Linked DNA regions of Sus scrofa. The protein of the gene in region 6 interacts with the protein of the main gene of each other region in a pairwise test. Links are inferred from orthologs where the notes say so. Each region holds a gene or a part of one and is shown on either strand. Other genes may lie near its edges. The genes, in order: EIF2B1, GAS7, C6H1orf50, FTH1, CAPN3, WDYHV1 and RABAC1.

Region 1 (3,992 bases), on a different chromosome or scaffold from region 6:
GCCCCTCTAATGAGGTTCCAGCACATGTAATCCTATCACTCCATCTCATGCTGACAACAATACAACGAGGGACTTATTGCTATCTTCCATCAATTATAAGATATACAACCTTTTTTTTTTTTTAACATTTGACAGTTGCTGAAATCAGCATGGTATCTTACTATCATGACTGACCACATTCTATTTTCTCTCTTAGTGGTATATAAAATAAAATAAAAGCACATTTCATAATCAATATCTTCTTAGACTCAATGAAACTTCTATTTTGCAAAAGAAAGTAACTTGATCTAAATCACACGGCCTTCCAGCAAGGAGCAGAGCCAATACCCAGCTCTGAAGACACATCCGCTGGACTCTTAAAGACCGTGGCTTTTCAATGCCCCCCTGCCTACTTCTGACCGCCCACAGCATTCCCCTCTTCTAATGACAGTACTCACTAGCTCATTTTACAGTTAGCTGTGTTTCTGATCTCTCTTCCCAACTCTGCCCTCCAAACCCTGGACTCCTTAACGAGGAATGTGTAAATCACACAACAAAGTGCCTAGCACAAAGCAGCACTTAATAACTCTCACAGGCCCTCATTCCTCTGACCATAAATCTTTGGCCTTAGTTCCCATCAAGCCCCATCCCACAATTCTCAGGGCCATACGTTCCTTGCTACTATCAAGCCTGGAAAAAAAAGAAATTGTTACCTGTCAGGAGAGATGTGTAGCTATACACATGGAATGTCCCTGTGAATTTCTTTCTTTGGGTCTCCACCTCCTTATTTGTAGACAGAGACCACACCAGGTCGGCCTCCCTCACAAGATTGTTATACTGATTAAAACACTTGAAGGATGCATGGACAACTGCTACGACCCCAGAGCATAAAGAAACGCCTGGAATACAAGAGGCGCTCCAAAAATATTTACTAAATGAATGAATGCATTCGCTACTTCTCTAAAGATCAAACAGGTTCCACCCAGCCCCTAAGATAAACTCCATTTGGTTGATGCTGGCCGGGCAAACTCTGCCCAGCCCAGGGGTCCGGGTCCCGCCAGCGCAGCCCTCACCGTCTGAGACCATGGCGGCCAGTGTCCCTCAGCGTATCGGCAGCTGCTGCCAGGCGAACCTCCCAGATTCCGCTTGCCCCAACTTCCGGCGCCACCGAGTGACGTAAAAAGAGTCTTGGCTCAGGCAGCAAGCCCTTATCCACGGCCCCGCCCTCATGGCGCCGGAAGTGGAGTGCGGCGCTGCACCGCGCACTGTCAGTTTCTGTGACTTGGGGTCCGCGCGGTCGCACGACACAGCAAGACATCGCGTGTGGTTCTCGGTCCTTTGCGCTCCGCGGTCCGGAGGGCACCATGGATGACAAGGGTAAATCGGAACGCGACGGGCCTGCTGGGCCAAAGCGGAGACGCGCAGGGATCCCTTCACCTCGCACACCCAGACTGAGTTCCGAGAGTGGTCACTTTTCGAGCTCTGGCTCTTTGGCTGGATGTAGTTCTTCTGGTCACAACTAGAACCCTCTCGCTGCTCCTGTATCCAGGGAATAGGTCCTGGGGGCATCCCTGGACACCCCCTCTCCCAGGCTTCCAGTGCCCTCTTCCGAAAAAGTGAGACTTCGGACGAAGTGTGCAGGTCTTCGAAGTCTTGATTTCCTCATATGTGAAGTATGAGTTAGACTCCCTGCCCTGTTGGATCTGGTACTAGAATCAAAAGGCGTTTCTGTGTTCATCTAGTGTGGTTATGAAAGTGTTTTATTAAGTGAATAAAAATAACTAATATATAGTACCTTTCATGTGAAAAAATTAGAGAAAGGTGGACCTTTGCATACACATGCACATACATATGTATGTAAGCGAATAGGCTTTACTTGGCATACACTATCTGGAGGGGTGCAGAAGAAATCGGTAAGGTGGTTGGTTCTGGGATTCTTTTTGCACTTGGGATCAAGAATAAGGGAGAGGAGTTCCCGTCGTGGCTCAGTGGTTAACGAATCCAACTGGGAACCATGAGGTTGCGGGTTCGATCCCTGGCCTCGCTTAGTGGGTTAAGCATCCTGCGTTGCCGGTGAGCTGTGGTGTAGGTCGCAGAGGAGGCTCCGATCCCGCGTTGCTGTGGCTGTGACATAGGCCGGCAGCTACAGCTCGGATTAGACCCATAACCTGGGAACCTCCATATGCGGAAGGTGCGGCCCTAGAAAAGACAAAAAAAAAAAAAAAAAAAAAAAGTAGAAAAAGGGAATTCCCTTGAAGTGCAGTGGGTTTAGGAACTGGTGTTGCTACAGCAGCTCCGGTCACTGCTGTGGCCGGGGTTGGATCCCTGGACTAGGAATTTCCACATGCTGCTGGCACATCCAAAAAAAAAGAAAGATTAAGGGGGAGAATGACCTTTCACTATCATTTGGTGGAGCTTAAATTTTATGCCATTGTACATGGATAGCTTTTTCAAAATGACTGAGAAAGCTTGCCAATAGTAAAGTGATGTCATCTCTAGTCCTATCAAAATTGATGTGCCCCTGAAGCCAAACACCCTGCAAAGAAAATATATACATTTATATTTTTTTTCTTTTTACAGCCAAAGCTTGCAGCAACACCAGGTCTGTAACCCACTGAGGGAGGCCTGGGATCAAACCCACATTTTCACAGAGACAACGTCAGATCCTTAACCCACTGGGCCACAACAGGAACTCCAGAAAATAATTTTTAAATTAGCTTGTTTTTTAAGCTCAGCAGTCATTGATAAACTCTTGTCGTCCATCCCAATAAATCACCTTGATAAGCCACTGTTTTATCCCTTCGCAGAGTTAATTGAATACTTTAAGTCTCAAATGAAAGAAGATCCTGATATGGCCTCAGCAGTAGCTGCCATCCGGACTTTGCTGGAGTACTTGAAGAGAGATAAAGGTAAAGAGTGTCATCCTCAATCACTCTGGGTGTGAGGAAAGTCTGCTCATCACCATTAGAAGTGTAAAGCGAGAGATGTATATAAGATGCCTGCATAAGGTGCCATATGCTCAGCTTCTCCCTTCATTTCAGTCCTCTTAACATGAAGAGAGCTCTCTAACTATCATCAAATGGGGGGCATTTCACAAATGAAATTTGTTCTGAATCAAGAATGACCATTTTATACCAAGTTACTATGAAGCTTAAATTATAGCAGTAGTTCAACTTTACTAGTGTTTATTGAGCTTCTGTCTTGTGACACATTCTGTGCAGTTGCTATAGAGAATGTTCCAGTATAAATTCTGGTTTTCATGTCATCATTGTGATTACTACTAATTCACGCATCCTAAATGTGAGTATCTGGGTATAAGCAAAATAATAATAATAGTAGAGCCTTCTTTAATGTAAAGGGCTGGCCCAGGAGTGCTGTGGTAGCCTAGCAGATTAAGGATCTGGTATTGTCACCAAAGTGGCTGGGGTCACTGCTGGGGCACAGATGTGATCCCTGGCCCAGGAACTTCCATATGCCGAGAGCAGCAGCCAGAGAAACCCAAAAACAAATAAAAAAAAAATTAAGGGCTGGCCTAGAGATGCATATCTCTAAGACAGCATCCAGTATCTATGACATCTAAACACCTAAGCCTTACCTGCACCACCTCGCAGGCCTCTCCTGATGCTGCTATTTAATTTCCTTCCATACTGTCCCTTACTGAATTATGCTTCCCTCTGGCCTCTTTGTTTCTCATACTACGTTTGTTCCCATCTCTGGGCCTTCAATTTGTTATAGTTTGCATCTGAGACTTTTCCCACTGGATCTCTATGTGGCTGGACCCTTTCTTACCCAGGTCTCTGTTTAAATGGCCCACTCCAAGAGGCCATCCCTGTTTACTCTGTCTAAAGTAGCTCCACTTTTTTCATGATTCTGCCTTTTTTTCCCATCATTTCTGCTCCTTTCAATCGTAATTAACTTGTTCCTTTCACTGAATGCTTATTTACTTTCCACCTCTCCCACTAGAAAGGGAATTCCTAAGTTCCCTCTGGCACAATGGGTTAAGAACCCAGCTG
Region 2 (3,500 bases), on a different chromosome or scaffold from region 6:
TCATGTGTGATCGGTGGTTTAGGACGAGGAACTCCTCTCTCCTCCAGGCCCAGGGAAAAGATAATGTAGCCTGGGGAGGGAGAGGAGAGAAATCACAGCCTCCCAGAGCTGGGATGTCACCCGTCCATGGAAGTTCAGCTCTGCTACCAGGGGGACAGGTGGAGGCCGTGGGACCCTAGAAGGCCGAGTCGGGGCCATAGGAGGCCAGTGCGGGGAGGGGCTAGGAGGCTGTGTCAGGAGGTCTTGGGAGGGCAGGTCTGGGTAGGTGGGGCTCTGAGAGGCTGAGGCTGGGGCCTCCTAGCTGTGACTCTGACCACAGCAGATCCACGTGTATCTGTTCTCTTGTCAGCTGCATCTCATGTTCACCCCCCCCCCAATTTTTAAGTAAATGTTCTCCTTCCAAAGAGAGCAGAGTGGAAAAGAGGGAAGGAATAAAAGAGAAGGAAAAAGCTTAAAACCCCAATGCCACCCAGCGCCTCTCAGAGTATAAACTCCCTCCCCTGGCCCTCGGGTGCGAGGCTGGTCTTCTCACATGGCACGGGGGTTCATCAGCCTCCATGTGGACCAGCCGGCGCAGCTCAGGAGAGGGGCCCCGGGAGCTCCCAGCACCACTGCCTCGAGCTCCGGACCTCATCCAGATCATCTGTGGTCTCAGCACCTGGCACATAGTAGGTGTTTAATAAGTAGAACCAACCTGAGATCACCCAATTAAATGTCATCCATGCAACAGTCGCTATGCTACATGCTTAGGGACACAGAGATGGTGGCTTGGTTTCCGCGCAAGAAGCTCCCAGTCTGGAAAGTAAGAGAGTCTGAAATGTGAGCAAAGCCCTGGAGGGAGCTTGGGGAGCTTAGAGCAGGTAGGGGGTGCCCACAGGGACTCGGAGGGCTCCAGATGCTAACCCATCCATCGAGACGAACGCTGGGGCCTGGCCAGCTGAGGCGACTTCCTCGACCGCGATGCGATGAGCAGCCACTTGTCTCTAACCTTCCCCATCCTCCCCCGTGGGGTGGGGGGAGCCCCCTCCCTCCACTTGCAGCTGATACCCCAGGGTCCTGAGTGTGTCTCCCCGATCAACAGCTTCACAGTGAGGTGGAAAAGCCGCTGATGAACTTCCGAGAGAACTTCAAGAAAGACATGAAGAAGTGCGACCACCACATCGCAGACCTCCGCAAGCAGCTGACCAGCCGCTACGCCGCGGTGGAGAAGGTGAGGGTCCCAGATGCCCGGCCGGGTGGGAGGGGTCCTGCTGGAGGGAGGGGGCGGGGAGCCAGAAGGGGATCCCTGTGCCAAGGCAGGGGCCTTTGTCCCCACCACCCCGCCGGGCAGGATCTGGTGAAGGTCCGTATGAGAACCCCAGCCTTAGGGCAGGTTGGCCACTTCCCCGTGGTGCTCAGATCCCCAGTGGGAACAGGCAGGGCTGCACCTGCCATGGTGGGTGAGACTCCATCCCACAGGTGAGACGAGGTGCATCCAGATTTTTGGTCTCGGAGCCCGGAGGCACTGCCAGCCCACACGTGTCCCCTTTGGGTCTCACCTGGCAGATTCCCTTCTGACTGAGTCACCCCCTTCCCAGATGCGGAGGTGGTCTGACCTTGGGAGCTGCGGATGCCAGTCATGGAGCAGGGAGAGGTCTCCCCAGAGGCTGACTCCGGGGTCAGGAGATAGGGGATGCAGGAGACGGGGGTCAACACTGCTACGGGCACCCCAGACGCTGCCGGCCACAGCCACCACAAGGCCCATGCTTTCGCAGAAAAGCTGTAATTTTAGGACCACCTGTACACATGCCAATGAAAACATGCTCTGAGCCTGCTCTGGACCAAGAGACAGAGATGAGAGGATGCTTTGCAGCCTCTGCGTGGTCCCTAGCTGCCTGGGTGATGCTGGTCTAGCTGCTTAGCCTGTCAGAGCCACTGGGACCTCATCCACAAAAGCAGGGAAAAGAAGGGACTCTTCCCTGGAAAAGGGGGAGCCAGGCCCCGGGCCCCATGGGGCCCTCCCGGCTCTGAGCCCATGAACAGTTCCATGTCCTTGGACCCCAGGCCCGGAAGGCACTCACGGAGCGGCAGAGAGACCTGGAGATGAAGACCCAGCAGCTGGAGATCAAGCTGAGCAACAAGACGGAGGAGGACATCAAGAAGGCACGGAGGAAGTCCACGCAGGCGGGTGAGTGCGACACCGTGCCCACTGCCCCTCGCCAGCTTTGCCTGGTCACAGGAGCACGAGGGGAGAGGCTGGAGGGGGGTGCCCAGGAGGGCGCATCCCACAGGATGAGGCTGTGGAGCAAGAAGCAGACCAGGCTATGTCCATACACCCCCATAGAGGGTCCTTCTGGCCAAGCCCTCTTCTCTGGTCCAGGAGGTGGACAGTCTGCCAGGCACCTGGACCTGGGGTCCTAGCCCTGCATGGAGCTCCAAGGAGAAGTGCAAACCCCACCCTCCGTCCCAAGTGATCCCACCTCCCTGGGGAGCCACACTCCAGAGGTTCTCCCAGGGCGATGGGCTTCTGCCCCAGGACAGAGGCCAGCATTTTGTTTAACGAAATAACTACATTTAGATTCTCGCCACAAGATTCGCCCAGTGAGTCAGTTTCTGCTTCCACCTAGAGGTAAAAATTAGCTAATGCACAAGGACGGGGGAGGAAAGTCAGAAACAGTTAAAAAAAAAGAAAATTGTTAAATATTTCTTAAAAAGAAAAACCATTCCACTACGTGCAAGGACAGTGCGTTTTGCTTTCTGGGGTTAAAACGTGACGTGCGCTGTGGGATCAGAGTGTGGATTAGAGGATCTCTGAACCCCTCTCACGCCACCTTCCGGTGACCCAGGTACAATTAGTTCATTATAGGATGAAGCAGCCACCTTCTGGACATGTTGAAATCACGTGGTCTAAAAATGTCATAACAAAGCAATGTCATATCAGTAGAGCATTTCACATAAAGATCTGATAAAGTTGTATTGGATCCAGAAACAGAAGGCACACTGCACTTGTTGGCAGTAGGAAGGGAACCCAAGGACGGGGAGAGACGCATTTAAATTCATTTATTAAACTCTAAAAAAATAAAACGATATTACAAAAACTGTATTGCTGCCTGGCCAAAAAAAAAAAAAATTTAAATCAGCCCATAAGAATAGAAAATCTTACATAATCACCATCTGCAGCTCCTAGTGTTTTAATGTTTTGTAATGTTTCTAAATGTTTTAATTGACGTATATCCCATCATATTATACTCTCTGTTCTGAACGCAGATTTTTAACCATCTCAGAGCCATGAATTTATTTAGCCATCCCTTCACGCACATCGGACGCCATAGGTGGTTGATGGGTGTGCAAGGGTCTGGTTGTATCCGGATGTGGGTCACCCTTCCTCTCGCTGGGTTTTGTGGGGCTCTTGGTTTCAGAGTGTCTGCCGGCCTCGGCGATGCTGTTACTGTGAACGCATCTCTGCGTGTATGGGGCTGACTCCGCATCTAGACAGGACAGACGTGGGGTCAGGAGCTTGT
Region 3 (4,131 bases), on a different chromosome or scaffold from region 6:
GACCTGTACCGTGGAAGTGAGTGCTCCTTTCCTACTTCCCAGAGTGCTACCTGCTTCACTCCAGACTCCAACCACACTCAAAGTTTTCAGTCCTCTGGAGCTTCCGGTGTGGCTCAGTGGGTTGGGAACCGGATTAGTATCCAGGAGAATGCGGTTTGATCCCTGGCCTCGCTCAGTGGATTGAGGAGCCGGCGTTGCTGCAAGCTGCAGCACAGGTCGCAGATGTGGCTTGGATCTGGCGTTGCTGCGATAGTGACATGGGCCCGCAGCTGCAGCTCTGATCCCACCCCCAGCCCAGGAATTCCTATGTGCAGGTGCGGCCCTAAAAGCGGGGTGGAGGGGAGTTCTCAGTCCTCCAACACGCCCTGCTTTCTCTTGCTTCCAAATAATATGGAATAGGCCCTCTCCTCCATCCATTTCCCCTCTTGCTCTTTTGCTTAACCCTACTTATTCCTCCGGTCTCTACTTATTTTCTCATGTTTAAACATTTCTGAAATTGGGTGTGGGTCTTACCATGAAAATCCAAAGATACTTGTGGTTTGCCACTTAGCAGCTGCTATACAGGAACCTAACTACATATTAATGTAATATGTGTAATCTGACCACTACATCAGTTGACTTATTTATATCACAATTATACTTCATCTCATATTTGCATTCCTAATTGTTACTTAAAATGCATTTTTTAAAGATTGCACTATGGGGGTGGCACAGTGGATTAAGAACCTGACTGCAGCGGCTCAGATCACTGCAGAGGTGCCAGTTTGATCCCTGCCCGGCACAGTGGGTTAAGGGATCTGGTATTGGTGCAGCTGTGGCACAGGTCACAGCTGCAGCTCAGATTCAATCCCTGATTCAGGAACTTCCACATGCCACCGGGGCAGCCATTAAAAAAAAAGAAAAGAAAAGAAAAGACTGCACGATAATGCAGACTTGAAACAATGCTACTATCAGTCATGTGCTAGGAAACCAAACTGAAGGCATTGGAAATTGCTTAAAATAAATAACTTTCAAAGCTACAGGAGAATGATGTGACCAATTCATGTACTGGAAAGGATTACCACATCAGAAAGCTGTCAAAAACTCCCCAGGTTACTTTCATGAAACGCTGATTAACTTCCAGTGGTATACAATTAAGTTAAACAAAAGAAGAAGTTGAACTAATAAATACTAAGAGAATTTGCTGGTTAGTTGAGGAAGCTTAAGGTAAGAGTCAGGTATAATCCAGTGTTACAAGTGAACAGAAACAACTAAGCCAAGTCAGGCGTTTGTCTGTTCCACCAACATATACTTAGCAGCTGCTGGGTGTCAGACACCATGCTAGGCCCTGGATGCACCGGCAAACATGAGAAAAAGGTCCCTGCCTTCGTTAAGGTTACAGTCTGATGCAACTATCCTTTAGAATAGGAAGCAAGTTGCATCTGTAATTTTAAATTTTCTAGTGAACATGTTAAAAGTAAAAATTAAGTAAAATCAATCCTAATAATATATTTACCCAATATATCAAAAAACATCATTTCATCATGTAATCAATATAAAAATTGTTAGAGAGATATTTTACATTTCATATGAAGTGTATATTTCATATTCACAGCATCTATCAATTTGAATGCTAAATTTTCATTGGAAAAACTTGATCTGTATTGAGACCATAAAATTTACAGTTGAGTTGATTCGCATACTCAAATTGTTCCAAATACATTTAAAAGTTTCCAAGAATTGAATCAATAACCAGGTTTTCTGTTTGTCTGTTTAGGGTGGCACCCACAGCATATGGAGATTCCCAGGCTAGGGGTCAAATCTGAGCTGTAGCTGCTGGCCTACGCCAGGGCCACAGCAAAGCGGGATCTGAACCTCGGCTGCAACCTACACCTCAGCTCAGGGCAATGCGGGATCCTTAATCCACTGAGCAAGGCCAGGGATTGAACCTGCACCCTCATGGTTCCTAGTCGGATTCGTTAACCACTGAGCCACAACGGGAACTCCGGTGCAAGGCTTTATAGGCCATGAAATATGTATGTGCATTTTGTTCCAAAGACAAGGAAGCACCTTATGGCCAATGAAAGTCGGTGGCAGGCATCCCTCCCAACAAGTGATCAGATGAAACGGACACACAGATGTTCTCCATAAAAGACCCAGATGAAATCGTGAGTATCGGGGTGCTCTGCAAACCTTCCCATCGAGGGAGATAACGGGCCCTCAAGACGCCGCGGAAGGGGTCTTCGGTCTCAGGAGGTCAGAGTTCGAGTCAGGCCACCGACTCGCAATGACCATCAGTTTTCCCCGCGTGCAGAACGGAGATAAGGACAAATGCTACCCCACAGTTTGGCTTGGGGGGGCCAAGCGAGCCCGAAGATGGTCCTTGACGTCCCCGGCCGCGCCTCCTCACCTTCTGCACCTGCTCCGCGAGCGCCACGAGGTCTAAGGGGTCCCCGGCCCGGTGGGTGTGGTAAGGGCTCACCAGGGCCAGGCCGCCGGGGGTCGGGCTGAGCTCCACCAGGGCTCCTGCGACACACACCCAGGAACACAGGCCGTGAGCGCCCGCCCTCGGCCTCCCGCGGGGCCGGGCAGACTCGCTGCTCCGGGCGGGCTTCTTTGCCCCTTCCGACTCCCGCCCCGCCTACCTCCCCGACCTGCCGCCGACTGAACGCCTCGGTTTTCCGTGACCCCCGGAGTCGGCCGGGGCGTCGCAGCGTCTTCCATGGCAGCGCCAGGTCCCAGCCTCCGGCCCCGGCGGCGCAGGGCTGCGGAGCCTGCGCAGAAAGGCCCGTGGGCGGAGCTCCCGCGTCCCGGCCCCTGGGCGTCACGGCCGCCGGGCGCTCGGGGGCGGGGCTCCTGCGGACTCACCGAGGCCCGCAGAGGGGCAGGGTCCAGGCTCGGGGAAGGCGAAGGCCGCGGTGCAAGCCTCCGGGGTGTGAGCTGCAGGGTGGGGAGGCGGGGCTTCCCGCGGGGCGGGGCCTCCCGCGGGGCGGGGCCTCCCGCGGGGCGGGGCGGGGCCTCCCGCGGGGCGGGGCGGGGCGGGGCTTCCCGGGGGTGGGACTCCGGCCTCCCCGGAGGGTGACCCGCGGTCCCGTTAGGTCCGAGGCCGCAATGGCGGCACGCGCGTTGAGGCTGCTGACCATGTTGTGGGTTGTCGCCGCCGCTGCCTCCCGAGCAGAGGCCGAATCCGAGGCGGGATGGGACATGACGGCGCCGGATCTGCTCTTCGCGGAGGGCACCGCGGCCTATGCGCGCGGGGACTGGGCCGGGGTGGTGCTGAGCATGGAGCGGGCGCTGCGCTCGCGGGCCGCCCTGCGCGCCCTCCGCCTGCGCTGCCGCACCCAGTGTGCCGCCGACCTCCCGTGGGAGCTGGAGCCGGACTCTCCCCCAAGCCTGGCGCAGGCCTCGGGCGCCGCCGCCCTGCGGGACCTGCGCTTCTTCGGGGGCTTGCTGCGCCGCGCGGCTTGTCTGCGGCGCTGCCTGGGGCCGTCGGCGGCGCACTCGCTCAGCGAGGAGCTGGAGTTGGAGTTCCGCAAGCGGAGCCCGTACAACTACCTGCAGGTCGCCTACTTCAAGGTGCAGACCCGGCCGGGCCCGGGGAGGCCGGGGTCCTTCCGGGCGTGGCGGGCCAGGGAGAATGGGGGGTGGGGGGAAGTGTCCGCGGAGAGGGACCGTGGCCTCCTGGCCGGGAAGCTCTCCTAGGACCCTGGGAGAGCTGGGACCCTCGCAGGAGACCAGCCTCGGCCGGTCCGCGTAGGCTGATGGTGACCCCAAAGGTCCACCCTGAGGTGAAGGCACAGACCGACCAAAACTTGGCCTTGGGTTCCCTAACAGGCCCTGAGAGGGAACTACAGCGGCAGCTTGGGTCTCTGATCCTGATTTCATTGTAAGTTCCCGAGTGAGAAGCGAGGACCTTTCTACAACATCTTCCTTCCGGTTCGCTTTTCAGTGATGCTTTTCCTGCTGCCCGAGTGCGGAGCTTTCTTTCAGGACCTGAGGTTGCCACGTCGCCAGTAGGGGCTGTCAGGCCCCTCCCTGTGGGGGACCCTCTGGCCGGTTTGTCAGGTTTCCAAAGAAAATTAGCATTTTTAGGAATTCCGGCCTGCAGGGTTTTAAGTCCGAGTGTATGCGTGGATGTGGAGCGCTTCTGAT
Region 4 (3,993 bases), on a different chromosome or scaffold from region 6:
GGTCACCCCGTGTCTCCGGGAGGCCAGCTTAGGGCTTAGCTCTCACTGCTCCCCAGGGTGTGCTTGTCAAAGAGATACTCGGCCATGCCATACTCGGGGGCCCCCATCCTGTGCAAGTTGGTAATGTGGTCACCCAATTCTTTGATGGCTTTCACCTGCTCATCCAGGTAATGCGTCTCAATGAAGTCACACAACTGGAAAAGACAACGGGGAAGAGAGTTACTGGCGAGCCTTCCCAGGCCCCGAGGTAAATGACTTCCTCCTCCTCCTCCCAGGTTGCCTCAATACTCACGTGGGGGTCATTTTTGTCAGTGGCCAGTTTGTGCAGTTCCAGCAGGGACTGATTCACGTTTTTTTCCAAGTGCAGCGCACATTCCATGGCAGTCAGCCCATTCTCCCAGTCATCGCGCTCCGGTTTCTGAACGAGAAGGAGCCAAGTCAATGCACCTGCAGCCTCTACCTTTAAACCCAAGTCAGCAAGCACCTAACGTGTAAGCACTGTGCTTGGCGAAAGGAATATCCAAGCTTCCCCGACAACAGTTTCTATTTTACTATCCTTGCCCGTTACCATCTGCCCACTTTAGACGATAGGCCCACAACAGCACAAAAGCCACAAGCCACAAGCCCAACGTATCTGCGTCTTGATAAGAGCAACTGCTCAGGTCTGTGCCTTCTGCCACCTGAGGAGCGCCAGACACATCAGGCACGACAACCCTGGAATCTTTTGTTCACCTTGATATCCTGAAGGAAGATTCGGCCACCTCGTTGGTTCTGCAGCTTCATCAGTTTCTCAGCATGTTCCCTCTCCTCATGAGATTGATGAAGAAAGTATTTGGCAAAGTTCTTCAAAGCCACATCATCGCGGTCAAAATAGTATGACTGAAAAGTGAAAACAGGAGTCTGTGAGCCTAGGCTTCCTTTCTCAAAGCCCAGCAAGAAGGGGTCTGGGTCTAAGGAGATCAGAGCAGGCTGCGTTGCTGCATCGAACTAAACAGTCATTAGTTCTCACTCCTAAGGGCAAAAATGAAAAATGTTCACAAGGAGCATTTAGAATATCACAGGACTTGCCACCACCATGGAACATCCTCAGGATCTGTGTTAGAGCAAAGTTCTTTTTTCTTTTTTGGCCGCCTCTGGTCTGAGGAAGTTCCCGGGCCAGAGATCAGATGGGAGCCACAGCTGTGACCCTCATGAGAGTTGTGGCAGTGCTGGATCCCTAAAACCACTGTGCCAGGCCAGGGATGGAACCTAAGTCCCAACGCTCCAGACACACCGCCAACCCCATCGCGCCACAGCAGGAACTCCAAAGTTAAATTCTTACAGCCAGTGTCACATCTGGTCGAAGAGAGGAAAGTGGAGTATTTACTCCGCACTATTAGTGCTTCCTCCTTCTCCCTCCTTGATTAATCCATGTTAAAACATGAACTTGCCAGCTTACAGCCAGACCGATGCATTTCTAAAAGTACCCCACTAGGGAAGTAGACGGCTGTGGGCAACAATGTATATAAAGGCATAACAGTAGAAAGCAAAACTGGGTTCTTTTAGACCCTTGCTGGGTGTTCCTGAAATGGAAGGGCAGTCATAGAAATCCAGGCCAGTTCCAAACCCATCTGGTACCTGCCTATTCTTGGATGGTTTACGTAATGGTCAGACAATTCTACAACTCCTACCACACCGCCTAAAACCAGGAATTTGGAAAACTGACCCCTCTATGGAAAAAATGCCGGCCCTGTAACTGTGGATGGACTTTATCCAAGAACGAAGGGTTCGATTAGGCCCCAACCTTTAGACAAAAAGAATAAAGGAGGAGGTAGTCAGGCGCAAGGACGGGTGACTAAGACAACTGTGGCGGAAGGAGAGATTTCTAGAGATGTGCTTCAATTCAAGTGGGACTTGGCGATAAGCAGAGCAAACGGGTGGAGACGGCTGTTCGGGTGGTCAGCCCACTGGAGATAAAGCACTTCACACCAGCCCCCAGGGCTGCTATTCGACACCATTACCCAGCAGGCTCCGCCGTATTCTGGGGGATGGGAGCAGGACCTCTTCGCCTCCGCCCAGGATCACGTGATCGGATGCAGAGGACGGAATGGAAATGCGAAAATCCACCTTCCTAACTGCAGGATGGTACTGGCAGCAAGCGCGGCAAGGAAAAAAAAGGGGGAGGGGGGAGGGGGGTGGGCGGGCAGAGGCAGTCGGCCTACAAAGGGGCACTCCCAGGGGTCAGTCGGAAAGGGCCGACTCCTCGGAATTTCTGCGAAGTCCTGGGGGACCCGGAGCAGCCTCCATTTTCCAGAACCGCGCAGAGGCGGGAGGCGGGAGGCCCCGCCCGCTAGCCACACCCCGCCCCGCCGCCTCCGAGGCCGAGCCCGCCCCCCGCCGGCCAAGCCTGCGCTTACCATGGACAGGTAGACGTAGGAGGCATAGAGCTCCAGGTTGATCTGGCGGTTGATGGCCGCCTCCGAGTCCTGGTGGTAGTTCTGGCGCACCTGCGAGGAGCACGAGGTCGTCATGGCGGGAGGCTGAGGAGCGGTGGTGGCGGCAGCGGCGCGGGAGCGGTGGCGGTGGCCTTGGGGCGGTCCGAGGGCGCTGTGAAGAGGTGGCGAGGGCTGGCTCTGAGCGGCCGGCCGGGGCGGGTGACGAGCGCCGGGTTCCGTCCAAGCACTGTTGAAGCAGGAAACCGCAGCGACTCTCCGCGAAGACTGTGGCGCAGGTAGCGCTGGCCCGGCTCTTATATCGGCATCGGCCGTCCGCCCCGCCGCGGCCAATCACGCCGCCTGCCCGCCGCGCGGAGCCCCGCCCCTTCCGGTGGGTGCGGGCGGGGGTGGGGGGAGGCGCACTGGGATGGTGGGGGAGGGGAGGGAAGGGGTGGGGTGGCGAAGCCTGGGAGTCTTGGAACCCCGTCCCGCGCAGACGCCTTGAGGTGCGTTTCGTGGGATGAGAGAGACGACCTGAGCAAGGGCAGGAAGTCCAGCTCGGGGCTGTGACTCTATGACTCTCGGGGCTCTGACAGCCTGGGTTTTGCAACCGACGGGAAACCTTCCCTGGGGCGTCGAGGCTCTTGCAAGAGCCCAAGCGGGCACCCCGAGACTTATGGCCAAGGTCATGTTAAAAATCAGAGCGGTAGAGCTGCAGTTGCCACACTCCGAGGTGCCTGGTAATGCAAATAGGGAACCCGGAGAGTGAACGTGGGCCCGGAGTGAGGCAGAGGTCGGGCGGGGAAAGGGCCCTCTTTCAATTCCTCAAAACCTAGGAAGGGGCCCAAAGCAGGTGGGGTCGGGCCTCCTCCAGCTCTGGTGGCCCGGTCCGGCTTTGGCCGAAAGTGTACGTGGCTCCTCGTGCAGTTGCTACAACAAAGGCTGGGCGGGTCGTGTTTCCCCGAAAGACTGCCTTCCCGAGGGAGTCGTGAGCCACCAGGGTTCTGAGAAAATCGGCCGGTAGCTTACAACTCAGAGACCAAGGGGGTTAGAAAAGGAGGAAAGAAGCTGCTTGAATCTGAAAAGGATGCTGTGAGGCCATTTTGAAATGGCCGATCAAGCCCCAGGAGCTTCAGGCTCAGGCGGTTCTACAGGGAGCCACCCCCTGGGTTGTCCTTGGAGAGAAGCTGAAGGCGCGGAACATGAAGGACAGATGCCAGAGAACGTGGAGTGGCTGGGGCACTGTGTGTGGCTTGCAGCAGTGTCCCTGGCACTGAGTGGGTGCGAATTCGTGGGTGGCAGAACTGGAGCTAGGCAGACCCAATCTGCTGCCCCCAGGGTCCACGATTCTTAATCAGGCCCTTCAACACGTGGGTAGGGGACCTACCCAAGACCCTTTTCAGGATATTCACAAATGTCCAACTGTAAGCTGTACTTCTAAAAGCTTTACAACAAAAAATTAAAGGAACTTTACTAAAATAGGAAAACAAGTTGCTGGTGGAATTACAGCGATTTCTCTTGGGTCTTTATTCATTTCAAATGTACATATGTTACTTAAGGAAAAAAAATTTTAATGGGG
Region 5 (3,500 bases), on a different chromosome or scaffold from region 6:
AGCTTGTCGGACTCCAGGGCATCAGCTGTGAGGTTGCAGATCTCCAGCTTTGTGAAATGGTAGATGAAATCATCATAAGACATCCTGAGAAGTTGGAAGGAAAGAGAGACCCATATGGGAAGCTGGGAAAGGTAAGACTCCAAGGCTAACACAGCACAATGAAATAATCCAGAGAAACTTGGTCATGGACCTAGAGAGAGCCCTGTCCTTCCTTTTTAGGGTCATTTCTGATGTATCTCTTGAAATAAAGACTCAAACTCGTGTGTCCTTGATGGGATTGCTTGGCAGCAGTTTAGTTCTCTGAAATGTTTCTTGTGTGCTCCTCCACTGGGTCCTAGGCATTGTGCCAGGCACAGGGAAAAGAGACACAGATGGGAAAGGACAGACAATTAAGCAAGCAATTTTAAACGTGATGAGTATCACAAAGAAATTCATCTCAGTCCTAGGGAAGACAAGGGGATCCTGAAGAAAAGTTGAATCTGACTCGAAGGCTAAGCAGAAATGATCTGAGTGAGGGTAAGGGTGGCACTGGATGAGCACAGTAAGTAGAGCTTCCTGGGCTTAGAAAGTGGCACCATGAAGGCCGGGAGCAAGTGGCTGAAGCAGTGTGCATGGCAGAGGGTGGGGCCACATCGTGCTGGCCTGGTCCTGGGCACAGTCATCACCATGACTCTCGGGCTCCTCCCAAAACCTCAATCTTCCGGGGCCACTGGCTGGAGATGAACAGAGCCCAGATGTCCCAAGGGCTGCAACCTGATGGCCTCTGGGGTTTGAGGTTTAGGGTTTCAGCCCCTACCCAATCGCCTACCCCTCAGGGTCTTCCTGGGTCTTGGACTCACCAGAACTCTCCATCCTCAGTGACCTGGTGCTGCAGACGGGCCTTCTCATCTTTGTCCACAAAGCTCCAGTCCTTCCAACTAGAGGGACAATGGAGGCGTTATAGAAGGAAGAAGAAAGGGAAGGCCTGGTATAGGTTAGGGCAGGAGGTATCAGAGAAACAGGAAGAAGGTTAGAGAATAACTCATCTCAGCTAGTGTGACCCATTAAAATGCAAATCTGATCTGATACCCTCAGTGTAAGATCCAGTCATTGATTCCTACCACCCTCAGGTTTAAGATCAAGCTCCTTAAATGGTTTATAAGGGCTTGACTCTTCTCTAGCTGGTTCTTTTTTTTTTTTTTTTTCCTTTTTTTGCCACCCAATGGCATACAGTGTTCCTGGGCCAGGGAGCAGATCCAAGCCACAGTTGCAACCAACACTGCAGCTATGGCAATGTTGGATCCTTAACCCACTGTGCCAGCCCAGGGATCAAACCTGTATTCCAGTATTCTCAAGGCACCACTGATCCTGTTGTGCTATAGCGGGGACTCTTCTAGCTGATACTTTTTTTTTTTTTTTTTCTTTTTAGGGCCGTACCCGTGGCATATGAAAGTTTCCAGGCTAGGGATCCAATCGGAGCTACAATTGCCAGCCTACACCACAGCCACAGCAACATCAGATCTGAGCCGTGTCTGCAACCTACACCACAGCCCATGGCAATGCCAGATTCTTAATCCACTGAAGGAGGCCAGGGATCGAACCTGAAACCTCATGGTTCCTAGTCGGTTTTGATTCTGCTGAGCCACGACGGGAACTCCGAGCTGATTCTTTAACCATTCGTAAACACTTTAAAAGTTATACTCTGGGCTCTAGAAGTAGATAAACTGGGGTTTCAATGTAATAATATTAGTTGTAACTTTGGGCAAGTCGCTTCACCTTTGCTCTGCTTCTGTCTTAGCTGCAAAAGGGGAATGATTATATCACCTATGCACAGGGCTGTGATGAGCAAGAAATAAAATCACTCATGAAAAACTTTTAGAACAGTCCTCGTCATCTACAAAGTGACTGTCTGAGTAACGGAGAGAAAGCCCAAACATGTCAACTTCTCCTTCCACCCTGCCACCCCACAAAACTCTCCTGTTTTGTGTTTTTAAAGGTTGGGCAGCTTTATACATTCTTTCTCCCGAAGGAGGAGGACATAAATAAAGCACATTTGTGTTTCAGGCACGTGGAGGAGAGTGAAACTAAATGGGTTGTCCCTGGAGAGGGAAGGGATTGAGGAAGTGCTTGGAAGCAGGGAATGCTGAGGGGAATGGCGAGTCCTAAGACCGGCAGGAGGGACACAGTGGGGAAAGGGAGTCCCTCTGAGTGATCGAGGCTGGGCCCCACTTGTCAGCAGTCCCTGCAGCAGAGGTGTTGGCAGAAAGTGAGTTAAGGCCGGATACCACTTTCTGAGACTGGAGGACACAGCGAGGATCCCTGTGGGTGACTCGGGCCAGAGGCGTGGCCCACTGATGGGGCACCGAGGGCCTTCCCGAGCAGAGAGCTTAGGTCAAATGCCACCCTCTCCAGGTACCCTTTTTCTGCCTTCCTATCCAAGCCAGGGGAGGGGCTCCCTCTTTGTGACACTTACCTTAGCATTTATATCAGTGATTATTAGTGTTTGTCTTTCCCATTGGATCTGAAAGCCTACAAGTCAGGGTCTAAGTCTCTGCATTCATTTCTAAGTCCCCAAACAGTAGCATGGGGCCTGGCACACACTGTGCACCAAGGAAGCAGGGATTTGCTCAGCCCATTTCTAGAATCTTTCTTTTTCAGCCAGTGGCCATGTGAGCTCTCCGGATCCCAGAATCCCCCTGGCTCTGATCTTACTGCCCTTTTCCGGAGCCGACAGCCCCACTTCTCCTCTGTGGATCATTGGTGTTAAGGATAATTTTAGACCAAGCATTTGTAGTACTCTTGTGGATTGGTACCTAACCCAGCCTTGCCCCAGGCTCCATTGTTCCCTCCCTGTGGGGTCTCCTCACCTACCTGTCACTCCAGGAGCCATTCCACTCCACCTGGCCCCAGGGGTTCCGCAGCCGCACAAGCTTCACCTTTTCACCCTTGAACAGGGCCTTGAGCAAAGAGAAAAAGTTCTCTCACTCTGGGTCCTTTCTGGAAAGGGGTTTGCTGTCTTGCCCTGAGGGCTGGGGTGGGAGTGGGGAGAGAATCCCATACTGGGGATGTCCTGCTTGGCCCTGGTCAAGGAGACTGATCAGAAGCTCCCTGTGGAAAGGCAGGGTGATGGGGCAGAACCTGAGTTCACAGAAGTCAGACTGGGCCATCACCTTGCCATTTTCTAAGAAATGATTTTCTCAAGGAACATCTGGCCATGAAGAGCTTTGGGGTAGGAGGTGGGGCATGTAATGTAGGGCTTTGCTAGTGTATTAGGTGTCTTTGCATGAATGGGAAATAACACCCTGCTGACTGCGGAGCTACAGAAAACGTCCCCTCTAGATGGATCAATCAGAAGAAGATGCCCCTTCCTCCCATCTGCCTCGTGGACCACGGCAGATGACTGTCCCTGTCTACCCATCCCTGTGAATAGGGAACAACTTGCCCAACTGTGCACAGAAGCCTGGTGAGGTTTTGGTCTCCAGTGTGACCCAGCGAAGGCCAGACATCCCAATGGGAGCAAA
Region 6 (3,500 bases):
GGGTTTTCAGCTGATCATTTCTCACGCTGTCTTTAACCGGTATTAAAGCAGCATGTGTATGTTTTTGTATCACAGAGTGTATAAAAAGGCCTGCGTGGTTTTGTTCATGTCATAGAACACGGTCTATGTAAGAGCTGAGTTAGGATTTCAGCTGTGATATAAAATGAATGTTGGTTTGTGTGTAGGAAATTCCGAGTGATCCGTGCAGATTCGTATTTGAAGAACTTTGCTTCTGACCGATCTCACATGAAGGATTCCAGCGGGAACTGGAGAGAACCTCCTCCGTCCTATCCCTGCATCGAGACTGGAGGTGAGCCACGGCCGCCCCCAGGGGGTTCCCGTCACTGTGCAGATGAGCGCGTTCCCTTAACCAGGGTCAGGAAGCACATTGTTCTTTGGGTAAGACCTCTGGAGAGCTAAGGAGGCAAGAGGGAGTGTCGTTCTGTGTATTCATCGGATTTAGGAATCGAGGCACGGAGAGCAGGACTGGAGGGCACCAGAACTCATGGGAGAGGAACGGTGTTAGGGCCCAAACCCTGGCACCATTGCTGGGACATTGGGCTTCGGAAGGTCTGCGTGTTCGAGTCATTTAACAGCGGGACTACAAGCATCTTGCCACGGGAGGGTTTCATGTTATGGGGAGGAAATCCCAGCGCGTCTTTGGAATGTGTGAAATGTCATTTCACTGGCTCTGTAATAAAAGCTGCCTAAGAAGGAGGTGAGAGCTAGCAGGTTTTATCGTCCCACTCATCTCATTTATGTGCTTTTAGGCATCAGTCCAAATAGTAATTCTTCCAGATTTAAGCGGATAAAGGGTTCTTCACCTCTTTCTGTTGCTTGGCACTCACCTGAAGCTGGAAACATTATTTATGATGGGAAGTAATTGGTAGCGTTGCCTTTAATTGGTGAAATCATCCTCTCACATGGATGAGGCTGTGTGAGTCAAACTGTTCTGTAAGCTGTACAGGATGCCGGAAAAATAGGACAGTGGTGTTCGGAATTCAGCAGTGAAGAGAGTAAAAAAAATATTTGGCATGTTTGAGGGGAGTGAAGACTGAAAGAGGATTCAAACTCTGATTTTTGAGGCTCTCTGTGAAAAGCTCTCATAATTTTAAAAATTTATATTGGAATTGATTTTGCCTCACCAACCGGGTTCCCAACCTCAGGGTTAGAATTGGGACAGCTGAGGTCAGGAAGGGGCCTCAGGGATCTTGCCTTCAGTCTCACTCACCAGGCTGACAGGGCCTGTGGCAGCTCTAAGGCAGAGTTTGGTGCGTAGTAGGCCTTCAGGAAACAACACCTTCTCAGCCCCTGTCCTCTGTGAGTCATTTCTTTGGGTTTGATGGCTACTACCCAGTAGGTGCTGTTTTGGGAGAGGCTTCGGTGCCAGCCCCTTTGCATCTTATTTTGGTTTAATCTTCACCACAAGAGGCAGGCTTTGTTTTCCACACTTGCCTGCCATACAGACTGGCGCACAGGCAGGTCAAGCCTGCTTCCCCAGCTGGAAGGCCTCCAAGTCCGGTAGCACCTTGTGATCGGGTGTCAGTTGCCCCCACCCTCGTGTAGCTAGCTCATCAGAGGCCTCCTGAACTTGAGATTGGAGCTCAAAGGAATCTGCTCCAAAGTGTGGGGTAAACACACTGGTTTCTCATGTCGTAATTTACTGTGTGTTCTCTTGTATGGGACATGCATTACTGCAAGCCCTGTCTTTATCAAAGCAGTATATTTGAAATTAGGTTAAGGGGGAATTACTTTCAGCTAGTTAGGGTTTTATTTAAGAAAAAACGGTTAGGAAAGAAAAAATGGTTCAAGAAAACATCACACTTCACCTCAAATATGTTGTTTAGATAGTGTGTCATTTTCCTCTTAGGTCAGTGATGTTCTGTTCATCTTTTTCAGACTTTTTCTGTATGTGCTTCATTTTCAGTAATTATTTTGCTTGTAAATTCATTGATCTTAAATCCTTTTGCGGTGCATTTTTTTTTTTCCATTTTACGTGTTTGTTTTTTCATTTCTAGATGCTCCATTTGGGGCTGATTTACTCTCTCCCCTTTTGGTCTTTGTCGTGCTCATGTTTAACTACTCTTTTGAGTAAATGGAGCCTATTTATAATCGCTGGTCCTTGTCTGCTGATTTCTCTCCTGGTTTTGAGTTGTATTTTCCTGTTTTCTTTGTATGACTCCTAATATTTGGTTGGCTGCTGGATTTTGTGCATTTCACATTGTCAGCTCCTAGATCTTGGGTTACTTTAAGAAACAGTCTTGGATTTGGTTCTGGCCCCACTTAAATTTCTGAGGGTCAGGCGGGTCCTTTCAAGGCTGGCTTGTAGGCCGTTTCCTGCGGGTTCGAGGTGGCCTTTGGCTGCTGCTGATTTAGCTTCCCCACTCTCGAGTGACCTTTCTGTGGATTCTCCCAAATGCCTGAGGGCTGGAGGGGTGTTGTTAGACTGCTTTCTGCTGCTTCTTTCCTGGACTTGTGAGATCAGTCCTTAGCCAAAGACTTGGGGGTAAAGGGCTGAGGCGCCTCTGCAGGTCTCCAGACAGCTCTCTGTGTAGTTCCCGCCTCTCTCACACTGTCCCCAGATCTAGCTGCCCTGGCCCCCTCAACTTAATTTTTTTGTTTTTTTTGGTTGCATGTGCAAGTTCCTGAGCCAGGGATCAAACCTGTGTTACAGTGGCCACCCAAGCCACAGCAGTGACAATGCCGGATCCTTAACCTGCTGAGCCACCAGGGAACTCCAGGATTTATTTTATTTTTCATTTTTTGCTTTTTTAGAGCTGTACCTGTGGCATATGGAGGTTCCCAGGCTAGGGATCAAATTGGAGCTGTCGCTGCCGGCCTATGCCACAGCCACAGCAGCATGGGATCCAAGCTGTATCTGCGACCTACACCACAGCTCATGGCAACACCGGATCCATAACCCATTGAGCAAGGCCATGGATCGAACCCGAACCTCATGGTTCATAGTTGGATTCGTTTTCACTGCGCCAGGACGGGAACTCCCTTTAGAGTCTTTTTGATATGTAGAGATTCGTAGTCCAACTCTTTTTTTTTTTTTTTTTTGGTAATTTATATGTTGGAGAAACTGAGTCTGGGAGAAAATGGTGTGGGTTTTGGTGATTGTATCTCTTTTGTGTTCTCTGAATTCCTATAAATTGGCAGTTGCCTCCAGTAAACTGGCAGTTTGCTTATTTTTACAGGTTTTCATTTAATTTTTTATTTTTGAATAACTTTATTTTTAGCCTACTAGAGAATTGGTTAAAAAATAAAACACTGCAGTTTTTCTATACCTTTTGGTCAGATCCCAGGGGAATCTGAGAAAACCATAGTGTAATTATCTAAACCAAAAAAATAATACAGTTGATACAAAAATATTGCCACAGTGCTCTTAACTTACAGACCTTATATAAGTTTTGTAATTTTTCCCACTAATTTCTTTTTTTTTGGTTTAGAATCTAACCCAGAATATTACATTTATTTGTCATCTCTCCTCACTCTCC
Region 7 (4,164 bases), on a different chromosome or scaffold from region 6:
GACATGTCCTTGAAGACACCTCACACAGGTTCCATCTGCAGCTCCTCCCCGTCCACAGCCTCTATCTGGTGGAAGGCGGCGTGGGAGCCGATGACCACGAGGGTGGCTCCTGGGGGAAAACGGGCAGCTCAGGGCCTGCTGCCTCCCCGGCCCCCACTGCCCACCGCGCCACCGAGACCCTGTACTCACTCACCTAGGACCCAGAAGACGGCGGATCCCGCGCCAGCCAGCCAGAAGAAGGGAAAGGAGACGCCCCCGGCCAGGGCATACTGATGGGCGGGGCTCACCTCTCGGCCTGGGGGGGCAGATGGCATTGGGACAGCTGTTCCACACCTGTCCCCTCTCCCAGAGTAACCCCCAAAATGCCTTATGCCAAGGCCCTCCAAGTCCGGCCCCAGCCATTTCCCCAGCGTCCCCACCCACTGTCCCCTGAAACAGTGCACCTTCCTCAGTAATCCCCCCCACCGCCCTCCACCCTTCAACTTTACTTCTGCTAGGAAGCTCCCAGACTCTCCCTCCCCAAACTACAGCTTTCCTGCTCCAACCTGCCCTCGCATAGACCTGGGTTTTCCAACTGGCATCCCAAAGGCCCAGGCTGACACCTAGACATGTTTTTTGAGTTTGCATATTATTCCACAATAATTTTTTTGCTTTTTAGGGCCGCACCCACAGCACATGGAAGTTTCCAGGCTAGGGGTCGAATCAGATCCACAGCCACAACAACGCGAGATCCGAGACACGTCTGCAACCTACACCACAGCTCACGGCAACACCAGATCCTTAACACCCTGAGCGAGGCCAGGGGTCGAACCCGCATCCTCGTGGAACCTAGTCAGGCTTGTTAACCGCTGAGCCACGATTTGTTGATTTGCTGCTGACATACAGACAGAATGATTTCACACAGCAATACAGTCGGCCCTCTGTATCCGCAGATGGGCACCCGTGGGTCACTGTACTACATCATTGCTACATCAGCAACTTGAGCATCCTCGGATTTGGGTATCCAAAATCTGGGGGCTCCTAGAAAAGCTGAGAGATGGCTGTATAGACATCTGGCTTCTTGTGGCAGATTGGAAAGTCAGACTTGCAAACCCTGGCGGCAGCAGTGGCTGAAGACAAGTTGTGACTATGCTCTGGACGCTCCCTCTGTGCCCTGTGCTCGCCTGACATGCTCCTCCACCCAGCCCACCCTTACCAGATACATAACTGGCAGGCTTCTGATGGATTCTGTCTTAGGTCTACCTGTTTCTTTGATTCCAACTCCCCCTTATCTCCACTCCAAACCTTGAGTTTCCCTTAGTTGGGAACTCAGGCCCTCTTTCTTCCCAGTGGTGCTTGGTGCCAGTCTAGGACCACATGAGCCACAGGCCTCAGCTTCCCTCTGAGAAGTCCCAAGATTTTTCTACTCCCATCCCAGGAAGCACGAAAGGGGGAGGACAGATTTAGGCTAGAGTAAAGTCGCCACCTGGCGTCCAATGTGGGTACTTGCAGCTGATGCTTTTGGCAGATGAGGGAGAGAGAAGGAGGAGGTTTAAAAGGCCAGCGGCTAGGTGGAGTGGTTCTTGGATATCTTCTGGGTTTGGGAAACAGCAATTTGGGGGGACTGAGAGTGGATAGGAGCATCAGGTGTGGGTATGGGGAATCTACTGTAGGTCTAGGATTGGGCAGACTTGGGTTCAAAAGGACTCAGGTTTGAGGTCTAAGGCTTGGATTCAAAGAGCCAGGATCAGAGGAGTTTGGGCAGATTTCTCACCAAACAGCACAAACTTGGACTGCAACGTGCGCAGATAGAGGATGTAACAGGCGCCAAAGAAGACAGCCAGAGCTACCAGCAGCATGGGCGATGTTACCCTGGAGGAGGGCAGGGAGGCACAGTCAGGCCGCTGGGGCTGCGTCAGACACGAAGGCCCTGACCTTCTACACCTGGGGACGTCCTTAGGACCACGCAAGTCTAGGTCATGTTTGGTCCCCCTGCATCCCAGCCAGGCTGATGGAGTAGGGACCTGGTCCTCTGGGGTAAAGATCCCACAGAGCTATCCCATGGGGACAGGGCCTGGCCAGTGCAGACATGGCAGCCTGGCGGGGGCGGGGCCTGGCTGAGGGGGGCTGTTCTGGCCAGAGAGACACTCACACGCAGTACAGGATGAGGCCCAGGAACACAAACACATAGTTGCTTTGGTAGTATTCCACGTTGCGTACGAGGCGCTGGCAAAGCTCGCCCAGGTTGCGGGGACGCGAAAAACGCCGCTGGTCCACGAAGGAGCCCCAGGGGCGGATGGTAGCACGGCGCCGCTCCAGCCACTCACGGCCCGCGCCAGAGGGAATCAGTTTCGGCAGCAGGGTCCTGGGGGGTGCGGGACCAGGTCAGCGGTAGACCGGGTTGGAGCCCGGACCCCCGAGCAAGAAGGGGGCCGAGGGGAGCGGGACTCCGGGGTTCTGGGGGGCGGGGGAGATATGGTCCAGGACTCCTGGATTCCAGGGGAGGAAGGGATTGAGCCGGGGCCAGGAGTCCGGATTCCTAACTCCCCAGGGATGAGGGGCGAGAAGCCATGACTCTCGGGTCTAGGTCAGGGGGGCTAGATTAGACTTGCTTACGTGGCGCTCAGCCCTTCCGCCTCGGCATCCTTCTGCTGGTCCTTCTCGGCCGCCATGTCTGTGTTGTGAGGGGAAGAACCGCTGTAACGAGGCTGGGGCCCTCCACACCCCACGGGCCCCGCCCGAAACCGGCCTCACTCGAAGTGGCCGGAGGGGACGTGGCGCCGTTCCGGCGCCGCTGGGGGCGGTAGGTTTGTCACGGAGTATTATGGGAGTTGTAGTCCTGACGATGTCGGGGAGAGTAGGCGCCCTGGTGGCTGCATGGCTCGAGGAGCACCTTGGGAGATGTAGTCGCGTAAAGCGACGTGGGTGCCTCGGGGGCATTGTGGGAGTTGTAGTTTCAAAGGTAGGACGTGCGAGGTCAGAGAAAGTGAGCTGTCAGGAGTCAGGGTGTCGGGGGAGTGTAAAGGCAGAAGACGTCGTGTACTACCCCGAGCAGTCTCTGTACAGTGGGGACTGTGTAGGGCTGTCATTCTGACTCTAAGGATATTAAAAAAAACCGTGATTAAACACTCAGATGTTCTGATTTATCAGATCTGGGGTGAGACCCATTCACTGGCTCTTTTTTTTTTTTTGTGGCAGGCAGGGAGTGGGGTGGGTGGGGACATGCTACGTTTTCTGGCTAAGGATCGAACCCTAGCCACAGCAGCAACCCTAGCACAGCAGTGACAGTGGGGGATCCTGAGCCACCAGGGAACTCATGGACCACATTTGAATAGTGAGACTGTAGAATATTTGTAGGAATCCATTCCATCCTTCTTCAAAGGCTAGTGAGGGGGCCATGGTTGCTGAAGGGGGTTATCTAAGATGGGGAGCAAAGCTCCCCCACAACTCTGGGCTCCTAAGGATGGATGGGTTAGGATTAGGACCTCAAGGATGCCCCTGCTATGGAGAGGGTAAAGGGAAGTAGGGGAAAGTAAAGGGGTGAGTTGTTTTTTTTTTTTTTTAATCTTTTTTTATTCCAGTTTTATTGAGGGGAATGAGGGATTTTAATTTTTAATTTTTATTTATTTATTTATTGTCATTTTAGGGCCACACCCGTGGCATGTGGAGGTTCCCAGGCTAGGGGTCGAATCAGAGCTGCAGCTGCTGGCCCACACCACAGCCACAGCAAGGCGGGATCCGAGGCACATCTGTGACCTACACCACAGCTCACAGCAACGCCAGACACTTAACCCACTGAGCAAGGCCAAGGATCAAATACGCGTCCCCATGGATACTTGTTGGGTTTGTTACCACTGAGCCATGATGGGAACTCTGAGAATTTTTAAAAGACGGAGTAGTTACAACTAAAAGAACTGGATTTCTTGGGTCAGAGGTCAAAATCCAGCCTGTGTTGATTTCATCAACTCCCTGTCTTCATTGGACAGTGAAGATCATCCTGGTTCCACACTCATGGGTTAAGGTTGGGTTGAATGATCCATGTGAAGTGCTTGAAAGAGTCTTGCTATTTTATAACCACTCAATAAATGGTGATGTTGTTTTTGCCACTACATTGTCATGAATGTTATGATTATTTCTAGAGTTCAGCCTTCTCAAATATGTCTGTAACGTAGTTGCTGCTGCTGG

Evidence for each region.
Region 1: the proteins of WDYHV1 (region 6) and EIF2B1 interact in binary tests that used the Homo sapiens proteins (3 or more experiments, as listed by UniProt). The two-hybrid records come from large-scale screens. The link is inferred for Sus scrofa from reciprocal best matches to the Homo sapiens genes NTAQ1 and EIF2B1.
Region 2: the proteins of WDYHV1 (region 6) and GAS7 interact in binary tests that used the Homo sapiens proteins (3 or more experiments, as listed by UniProt). The two-hybrid records come from large-scale screens. The link is inferred for Sus scrofa from reciprocal best matches to the Homo sapiens genes NTAQ1 and GAS7.
Region 3: the proteins of WDYHV1 (region 6) and C6H1orf50 interact in binary tests that used the Homo sapiens proteins (3 or more experiments, as listed by UniProt). The two-hybrid records come from large-scale screens. The link is inferred for Sus scrofa from reciprocal best matches to the Homo sapiens genes NTAQ1 and C1orf50.
Region 4: the proteins of WDYHV1 (region 6) and FTH1 interact in a two-hybrid assay, tested with the Homo sapiens proteins (2 studies listed by BioGRID and IntAct). The two-hybrid records come from large-scale screens. The link is inferred for Sus scrofa from reciprocal best matches to the Homo sapiens genes NTAQ1 and FTH1.
Region 5: the proteins of WDYHV1 (region 6) and CAPN3 interact in binary tests that used the Homo sapiens proteins (3 or more experiments, as listed by UniProt). The two-hybrid records come from large-scale screens. The link is inferred for Sus scrofa from reciprocal best matches to the Homo sapiens genes NTAQ1 and CAPN3.
Region 7: the proteins of WDYHV1 (region 6) and RABAC1 interact in binary tests that used the Homo sapiens proteins (3 or more experiments, as listed by UniProt). The two-hybrid records come from large-scale screens. The link is inferred for Sus scrofa from reciprocal best matches to the Homo sapiens genes NTAQ1 and RABAC1.

Annotation. Positions count from the first base shown.
Region 1 is NC_010456.5:29,354,305-29,358,296, forward strand, and holds the start of EIF2B1 (translation initiation factor eIF-2B subunit alpha), read left to right. Parts: upstream 1-1,192; 5' UTR 1,193-1,343; coding exon 1,344-1,356; intron 1,357-2,786; coding exon 2,787-2,888; intron 2,889-3,992. Other genes in the region: GTF2H3 (general transcription factor IIH subunit 3), read right to left, coding at 1,053-1,065.
Region 2 is NC_010454.4:54,764,742-54,768,241, reverse strand, and holds part of GAS7 (growth arrest-specific protein 7), read left to right. Parts: intron 1-1,081; coding exon 1,082-1,210; intron 1,211-2,043; coding exon 2,044-2,167; intron 2,168-3,500. UniProt on the Homo sapiens protein: May play a role in promoting maturation and morphological differentiation of cerebellar neurons.
Region 3 is NC_010448.4:168,665,280-168,669,410, forward strand, and holds the start of C6H1orf50 (uncharacterized protein C1orf50 homolog), read right to left. Parts: upstream 2,801-4,131; 5' UTR 2,704-2,800; coding exon 2,625-2,703; intron 2,506-2,624; coding exon 2,390-2,505; intron 1-2,389. Other genes in the region: P3H1 (prolyl 3-hydroxylase 1), read left to right, coding at 3,091-3,555.
Region 4 is NC_010444.4:9,533,858-9,537,850, reverse strand, and holds the start of FTH1 (ferritin heavy chain), read right to left. Parts: upstream 2,801-3,993; 5' UTR 2,511-2,800; coding exon 2,397-2,510; intron 880-2,396; coding exon 733-879; intron 419-732; coding exon 293-418; intron 195-292; coding exon 36-194; 3' UTR 1-35. UniProt on the Homo sapiens protein: Stores iron in a soluble, non-toxic, readily available form. Important for iron homeostasis. Has ferroxidase activity. Iron is taken up in the ferrous form and deposited as ferric hydroxides after oxidation. Also plays a role in delivery of iron to cells.
Region 5 is NC_010443.5:128,971,925-128,975,424, forward strand, and holds part of CAPN3 (calpain-3), read right to left. Parts: intron 2,937-3,500; coding exon 2,851-2,936; intron 965-2,850; exon of another isoform or gene 918-964; coding exon 840-917; intron 85-839; coding exon 1-84. UniProt on the Homo sapiens protein: Calcium-regulated non-lysosomal thiol-protease. Proteolytically cleaves CTBP1 at 'His-409'. Mediates, with UTP25, the proteasome-independent degradation of p53/TP53.
Region 6 is NC_010446.5:15,981,937-15,985,436, reverse strand, and holds part of WDYHV1 (protein N-terminal glutamine amidohydrolase), read left to right. Parts: intron 1-185; coding exon 186-310; intron 311-3,500. UniProt on the Homo sapiens protein: Mediates the side-chain deamidation of N-terminal glutamine residues to glutamate, an important step in N-end rule pathway of protein degradation.
Region 7 is NC_010448.4:49,932,075-49,936,238, reverse strand, and holds the start of RABAC1 (prenylated Rab acceptor protein 1), read right to left. Parts: upstream 2,801-4,164; 5' UTR 2,652-2,800; coding exon 2,596-2,651; intron 2,345-2,595; coding exon 2,132-2,344; intron 1,852-2,131; coding exon 1,754-1,851; intron 296-1,753; coding exon 194-295; intron 110-193; coding exon 21-109; 3' UTR 1-20. UniProt on the Homo sapiens protein: General Rab protein regulator required for vesicle formation from the Golgi complex. May control vesicle docking and fusion by mediating the action of Rab GTPases to the SNARE complexes.